Linked DNA regions of Nothobranchius furzeri. The main gene of each other region encodes a partner of the protein of the gene in region 2 in a complex. Links are inferred from orthologs where the notes say so. Each region holds a gene or a part of one and is shown on either strand. Other genes may lie near its edges.

The links.
Region 1: nhp2 (region 2) and nop10 share a complex: the UniProt entries of both Homo sapiens proteins name them as parts of the H/ACA small nucleolar ribonucleoprotein (H/ACA snoRNP) complex. The link is inferred for Nothobranchius furzeri from reciprocal best matches to the Homo sapiens genes NHP2 and NOP10.

The regions. Positions count from the first base shown.
Region 1 is NC_091742.1:80,334,249-80,338,128, reverse strand, and holds nop10 (H/ACA ribonucleoprotein complex subunit 3), read right to left. Parts: upstream 2,483-3,880; 5' UTR 2,355-2,482; coding exon 2,301-2,354; intron 1,403-2,300; coding exon 1,262-1,402; 3' UTR 659-1,261; downstream 1-658. UniProt on the Homo sapiens protein: Required for ribosome biogenesis and telomere maintenance. Part of the H/ACA small nucleolar ribonucleoprotein (H/ACA snoRNP) complex, which catalyzes pseudouridylation of rRNA.
Region 2 is NC_091750.1:25,734,561-25,738,869, reverse strand, and holds the start of nhp2 (H/ACA ribonucleoprotein complex subunit 2-like protein), read right to left. Parts: upstream 2,953-4,309; 5' UTR 2,840-2,952; coding exon 2,677-2,839; intron 2,607-2,676; coding exon 2,537-2,606; intron 2,337-2,536; exon of another isoform or gene 2,303-2,336; coding exon 2,197-2,302; intron 1-2,196. UniProt on the Homo sapiens protein: Required for ribosome biogenesis and telomere maintenance. Part of the H/ACA small nucleolar ribonucleoprotein (H/ACA snoRNP) complex, which catalyzes pseudouridylation of rRNA.

The DNA.
Region 1 (3,880 bases), on a different chromosome or scaffold from region 2:
TTTCACCCCGTGAAAAATGTCACACATCACCACGGTCAAACTCATACCTGATTCACGTTTCCCTCAGACAACATTACTGGGTACGGCAGTTCCCGGTGACATCTGTGCTGCTTTTTCTCTGCACTTTTTCGTCCAAGCAACCCACCAAAAACACTCACGCAAGTGAGCCCGTCAGGTCCTAGTTCCCTTGCCGTTGCAAGTTTGCGCATGCGTCGTTTTACTCAGTGACAATAGTGAGGGGAGATGTGGTCTTTACGTAAACAAGTTGTTTACGTTATTTTATTCCAACAATTTAGCAAGTTTCCTGAGTTTAGCACAAAACCAGTTTGCATCAAGAAGGATGAGTTCATATTGAACATAAAACACGCGGAAATAGATTTTCACATTAAAATGTTCAAACTGATAAATTAGCAAATATTAGCTCATAAAGTTCGAATTAAACAATATTAAGAAAAAGCAACATAGCTGAAATGAGCTAATGTTTTTCCGCTGCACCTCAAAATTACCTCGGACAGGTGATGTTTGTAAATGAGAATATTATCAAACACTATCTGGAAAAAATAAAGGTTGAAAAAAATGATGCAATTTTTCATTAAAAACACAACATTTTAACACTCACTGGGTATTTTGAGTACATGGATCAAAATAACAAGTGTGCTTTGAGGGTGTTAATTATTTTACTGTTCATTTTGTCTTTTCAGTTAGTCCAAGATGTTACTGAAACCAAAACATGACATTCAACAGTCACTGACTGAGTGTTTTGTGAATAGTCAAGATTCATTTAGCACAAACAAAAATACCTCTGGGAAACTGTCTGCAGCTCATAAATTACACACCATGACTGAATAGTAAACACCTTATATTTCAAATTCTAGTTTATATTCACAATAAATGTTATTTCTACTCAAATTTTCTTATATGTCGTCGTCCCCCCCAAAATAAAACTGGCATACAAATAGAGGTTATAGGAGCTAACATAGTATTATTTTACTGCAGACAATGTCAAGTATACCTTACTTGTTTAAATGTATGCAATAAAGGAGAATTAGCCATCAAATCCTGAATTCAAACAGTATTCAAGAAAATTCATCAAACATTTTTAAGCATAAAAAATGACAATAACCTCTACTAAAATCTAAAGACCTCATGTAATCGATCCAAACCAGCAAGTCCAACACACCAAGTGTCCTTTCAAAATCCATGTTGCCATCTTCAGCTCTTCATCCATCCATGCCTCCTCACTCCACTCTTTCCAGCTCCCTCACAGGACTGGCCTGGGCTGCTGGGTGAGCAGAATGCCAAAGCGTTTCTTCAGCTGCACTCGGTGTCTGGAAAACTTGTCATCCGGAGAGAAACGAGCCGGATGGGCAGAGCTGGTGGGCTGCCCATCAGGAGATGCCTTCTGTTGGAGGCAAAGATGAAGGGAAATATGTGTGCATTAGGGAAGAACACTGATTTGAAAAATAAAGGCATATGTCAGCTTTTTTTTTTTACATTTCACCAACGAAATAAGATACGTGGATGAAATTAAGTGTAACACCTAAATTCACCTTTTAGAATATGATGGCTATTATGGTATACAATAAAATAAACCCTCACTAACATATGTTTGATTCATTTTCTTGTAACACTACTCTGATTTACAGTAATAACCTATTCAGTTGCAAGTACAATCAGCTTTTAAAACATGTAAAGAGTTTTTTATTTCATGCGTAAAAACTAAATTTTACGCATTTTTCACTAAACTATGTTACGTTTCGGTTATTGACGTATTAATTTAAACTGTTACGTTTCGGTTATTGACGTATTAAAAGCAAAGGATTTTTATATGGTATAAATCAGAAGCTAAAATCAAATGTGTTTGTCCAAAAACACACAAAGGCGATCTGGGATATAACTATTTGTGTTTATACTGGTTCGCTACAAGCTTTCCACGTTAGCCACTAATTGCAACTGTCCATGTTCGCCGCTATTTTGCTGGCTGCACATGGAAAGCACTTTGAATTGCCTGGTATGAAGTAGCCTTTATAAATAAAGCGGCATTGCCATGCTTTGTTAGCTCAGCTGCTATCCATGTTAGATACTAGTTGCTATCAATGTTAGCTACATGTGAGGCTAACGTGAAAACAACACGAATAACACATCTTGAGATTTTTTTGGTTTGACTTGCTCCTTTATGTTTTAATAGAAGCCACGTGATGTTACTTTTCGTTTTCCAACAAAATAAATTTAAATGTAATGAGCTAAAACGTGAAACTGATAGGAGAGAAGACATGTTACGAACAACACACACAAATTACCTTCAGAGTATATACTCTGTCTCCAGACTCGTTAAGATAAAACTGCAAAAACATGACGAAAAGTCTTGATATGAAGCTTTATAAGTTTTAAAAAATCCAACTTTATTTTAGGAAGCTAGAAAACGTGGATCCACGTGCAACGAACTTTCTAGTCGGATATCCGGTTTAATGATCAGGCCGCTTGGAATCATGGGGAACTGAGTTTACTCGCAAATTAGGCTCTTTTGAATATCACACACTAATAAAAGTGCATTTTCAGAACTTTTATGCTTTATTCTAACCACCTCTCAACGTTTTACAGACCCACCAGCATCTATAACAACTCTTTGAAGAATCTTGAATTATATGAGATGATTATTATTATAACAATATTTATTAGATTGTTATAATTATTGTTTCTGAATATCGATTTACAACATTTAATTTTCTTCCGAGAACAAATAAAGTATTTTGGCCCTTAGCTGAATCAGTAACAGAGTAACTTTTACTGGTCCAATTTCAAAACAAAACACAATGTGTTTTTAACCAAAACAACCAAACACATTCTTGAACATCTGCATGAAAATTCTGCTGTGCTATAAAACAAATAAAATATAAAAACTATTTAAAGAACAAGTCACCCCCAAATAAACTTTTTTTGCTGATAAACTAAATAAACGAGTGTCTAATCGTGCTGCAGACATGTGCCGTCAATAATTTGGCACTTCAGTGCATCTTAGTTAAAATTTAGATATTCTGCCTAAAACTGTCAGTGTTGTGCCGTTGTCAGGTAAAAATTCTGCACTGTATTCTAATTTAAATCTGCCACCGCTATTGGCTAAGAGGTATGCTATGATGTAAACTGGTACGTTATGATGTCACAATGCCTGTGTGTTTGTGTATTTGTTAGCAGCTCCGCCCTCTCGGTCTGCCAGGCAACAGCATTTGTTGCATTTTTCAAACATGAAGTGGGAGTGGAGTTAGAATCTGGTACGGGTTGACTTGCTCTTTAAATCCAGTTCTTCCAGAATTATGAAATCCAAAAGCTCACATTCAAAATTAAACAATAATGATGTTTACTTTCAAACAGACATAAAGTTGGAATCTGTTTTTGCAGCATTCACCATAAACTACTCATGTCAAACGAGAAAGGTAAGTCCATGAAAATTCATTCATTAAATTATTACCGGTACATCTTTTTCCACTGAGAACACTTATTTTTCTTCATTAAGCCTATCTAGTGAAACAAATATGTTCAAATTGCTGTTTTAAATTAATATAAGAACCAATTAAAGAACCAAGTCAGAGGAGATATTTGCAACCTTAGCCGAGTGTGCGGTGTTACAAAGTACTTGTTGCTTCAGTCTTGTTGTCTTTGTTTATTTTTTTCTGGTACTTAAAAGCAGCCTCCTAAGTCTGAGAGAGGGTTGGTTCTGCACAGGTTTTCATGCCAAAACCTTCCTTCACATGTGTTTCCTTTTAAAATGTCCCCTGAAAACACAGATAGGAACAGAAAACCTCACAGCAGACTCTAACTTTATGTTGGGAGTCATTTACATGCTGAGAAGTTGTCTGAGGTAACTTCCATCTTTTGTCCAACA
Region 2 (4,309 bases):
CTTCACTAACATCTCCGCCAAATACCGAAGACCCGGAACAACGTCCGTCCACTACTAGATTCCTTTCCTGTTTTGCCCCTTCGTCTCCCGGCAACGGACAACAACTTCCGGGGTCAGACGCGCTGCTTCGTGTCTATCGCAGATGTAGAACATCACCGGGAGCGTTTCTCCCTTCATTAAGGAGCTTCTTTCAGACATGAGGAGAGCTGTTTTGGTGGTAACGGTCTCTCCTCCATGCTGGTCTGTTTGCTGCTGGGTGTTTTTGGTTTATTTAAACTTGGTAACTTGAACTTAACGTTGGTAAAGCTACTGTTAGCATCTTCGCTAACAGCTTCTTGCGTTGGGATAAGCTGTTACGTTTTGGTTTAGAGTTCATCTTTTTTTGTGGTGCAGATCTCCCTTTTATTACATTTAGAGTGTTGTGGGTTTTCGGTTTAGTGTAAAATATCACCTGAGTTTGGTTTAACCCGTAAGACCACTCGCCTCACGCACATAAGTGACCAAAACAAAGCAGCATGGAGACACTCCATCTTCTACCACCTCTCAGGCAGCAGCCTGCACTCCCAAGTTCTACACGTCACCAGAACATAACCAACCAACACAATAAAAGCATGGAAGGCCTGTAGTGTTTATTCTCTTACAGTAAGAATTTATCAATTTTTTTGAGGAATTTATTTGAGATTTTCTGGTTTTTGTTAATTGTGCAATAGAAAAATAATCATTAGATTAATTTTCTAAATAGTCATTAGAATAGTCGACTATTCGATAAAATAATCATCAGAATAATCGTTTTAAAAATAATCGTTTACCCCCAGCCCTACTAAACCGGTTGTTTTCTACGCTTTACTAAGCACAGAGCAAGTGCTGTCACTATGAGTTGTTGACTCAGACTTTTCTTTCATTTATATGCTTTAAAAGCCAGTAGTTTAATTTTGTGATTTAATTGAAAGTTTTGTTTGTTCTTATTTGCATAAAAGACATTGTAATTATCGTTACTGTGTTCTTTATGTGACCGTGATTTCAGTCAAACTACAGCTGGTTATGTTTTCTTGGCTTTATTTTAAGCGAAAACAAGTACTGTAACTGAGTTTGTGACTCGGAGTTCTGTTAAAACCAGAGTTGGCTATGTTTTGCAGTTTCTATTATTTTCACTAAAAACCAGCAGTTAATCCTAATGTCATTTGACTTGTTTCAATAAAACTGTTGAAAATGCAGCGGCACTTTGTTTTAATAGGTAAATATGAGATACGGGGAAATGTACGGCCCGCTGGCAAAAGCCTCATGATAATTTGGCCCAACAAAAAATCTAACCGAGTAGCCCTGCGTTAAAAGCTGTACTCTGGCCCCATGCATGCGCGGGTTTCCTCCGGGTACTCCGGTTTCCCCCACAGATCACAACACGCCCTATAGGTTATAAATTGTAAGTCGCTTTGGATAAAAGCGTCTGCCAAATAAATAAACATAAACATACTTGTGACAAACGGGCAACTTTAAGGTCACGTGACCACCACTACTGCTCAGCAAAAACTACGTCCTCGAGACTGTAAACACCCAGACCCTGGAGCAGAACATGATAACAACATATAAATGATGAAAACTCAGCAACAGAGCTGAGGCGGACTTTCGGCATTGCCATGGAAACCTGTAAACACTCCAGCTATCCAGCTTTGATCAAACAGCTGGTGGCATGTTTTAGTTCTGATGTCTTTGTAGTCCTCGTAAATCTTCCTCTATCCAGATGAAGGACGAGGCTCTGTACCTTCTTCCATTCTCATTTATCTAGTATCGATTAACAGGGTCTGCCTGTGGGCCTTGCTTTAAATAGAGATGATTCCACTCGAGCATCGTTGGTGGTACGGAAGCATGGATTCATTATAGCGCTGACGTTCTGAGCTCACTACGTGGAACCCCCTCCCCCCGGTGTAGATGGACCAGATATGCACACGGCCCTGATTTAGATCAAAACCGTTGGATCATATATACACATATATCATATATAATAATAGTACTAGTAATAGTAGTAATAATAATAGTAATAATAACGTTTAACACAATCAGAATCTAAAAACCACGACACCAGCCCTTTACCTCATAGAATGTGTGTTTTACTTGAAGTCAAGGGTTAAAACTGACGTGTGAGAAATCTGAAATCCTGACAACACCTGCTGACCTTTGACCCCAGCTCCACTCACTCACCGTTTTAGAGGGCACGTAGGCGTACGGCAGGCTCCTGTCCTCACACATGATGGGCAGGTGACAGTACACGTCGATGGGCAGCGTGTCGCCCGCCAGGACCACGATGCTGCAGAGACCAGACCGGGTTCAGGTGAGCACAGGTGAGGTTCTAACGCGCGGATGACTACGGTGTCCTGAATGGTTCAATGCGCTAAAACTGAATAATGTTCACATTTAAATACATAAAAAAAAAATTAGTGCGGAACTTCTTCTGAGGGACAGAAAACAGTGACGGACCGGACCACTACAGTAATGGGGACTGAGGTTCTGGACGGACCCGGGCACCGTGAAGCTAACTCACCCTTTCTCTCCTTTCTTGATGAACTTCTGAACTTCTTTCACGCCCCTCCGGATGTTCTTCACCTTAGCAGCTGAAATCAAAACACCGGGTAAAGAAGCGGGACACAAGCACCGGTCTAACGGGTCTCGGTGGTCTTTTACCCTTTTTCACGCACTTGTAGAGCTTCTTGCTGAGCTTCCTGGAGGCCAGCGGCTGAGAGATCGGGTTCAGGTGGGAGACCAGCTCCTGGTAGGTCCTCTCGGAACCACCGGCCGATGCGACCGAATCATTTGGATCCGCGTTTTCCTTCTTCGTCTTCGTCATCTCTGATAATCAATAACCGATTGTTGCTTTCTGCTTTCACCCAGCACGCACGTGTTTTAACTCTTGTCCCGGACTAACAGGACCATTGGACCACAGCGCCCCCGGCGGCCAGGAGCGGAAATGTCGGCAAAGTCTACAGAGGGCCTGTAGACGCGCGCGCGCGTGTGTGTGCGTGTGCGTGTGTGTGTGTGTGTGTGTGTGTGTGTAGAAGAAGAAAGTATCATTTCTATAGCGCCTCTCAGGATGAAAATCACGAGGCGCTTCACAAAAAAAAGTGTAAAACATAAAAAAATAATTTAGAAAATGGTTAAAATATGTTTAAAATGAGCAAAAAATAGACAATTGTGATTAAAAAAATGTAAAGAAAGAGAGAGAGAGTGAATAGATAGGGAAAGATCCTGAGGAAGGTGGAATAGGTGGGGAGAGCAGAATAAAGAGAGTGGTGAAGAAGGTCACACAAAAGCCAGCCTGAACAAGGGCAACACCTCTGAAGATAAGAGTCAAGAGGTGCTTCACAAGAACAAAACTAAAACATGATTAAAAACACATAATAAATTGTGAAAATGGAAAATTTAACATAAAAATGAGAGGGAAGAAAGAAAACGAGTAAGAAGAGGTAGCAGCACCTGAACAGGTGAGCGTTCAGCTGCATTTTAAAGGAGACCACTGGATGTAAAACAGCTGGTGGTCTGTTTTAGTTCTGACATCTTTGTAGTCCTCAGAGACACAAATGTATGATTATTGCTCCGTCTGGGAGAAGAACGATGCTCTGTCCTCTTCTTCCATACTCATTTATCTGCAGTGATGTGACATTCACGAGCAAATCAAATCTTTTGGTTTTCAAAGTGAACAATGAGAGCCGAGTCTCTGTAGAGAGCCGTTCATCTTGTCTTCCAGTACCAAGCCTCCCCGGAGGTCGGCAAAGCGCACCCGCTCAACCCCCACCCAGCCCGTGACGGACGTGGACAGAACGCTACCCATCCCAACCACCGTGCGCCCTCACATAAAAACCTTTTCTTTGATCTCACTTCTGATTTAGTGGAATGTGTGTGAGAAAAATGTTACGAAGCATTTTAAAGATGCAACAAATTCCACACAGCAATAATTATTATCTGTAAAATGTTGCTAGTTAACTCATTAAAGAGCAAGTCACCCCCTACCAGAGGCTTACTCCACTCCCACTTCCTGTTTGAAAAGTGCAACAAATGCTGTTGCCTGGCAGAGTGAGAGGGTGGAGCCACTAACAAACACACAAACACACAGGCTCACAACAGCATTGTGACATCATATAGTACCAGCTTATGTCATAGTGTACCTCAGTGTGTCCCAACCCTGGTCCTCAGGGACAACTGTCCTGGATGTTGTCCATGTCTCTGCTTCAGCACACCTGATTTACATCGGCTCTTCAGAAGGACATCAAGTGCTGCAGATGCCCGTTAATCACTGCTTCATTTAAAGGCCCCTTGTGTG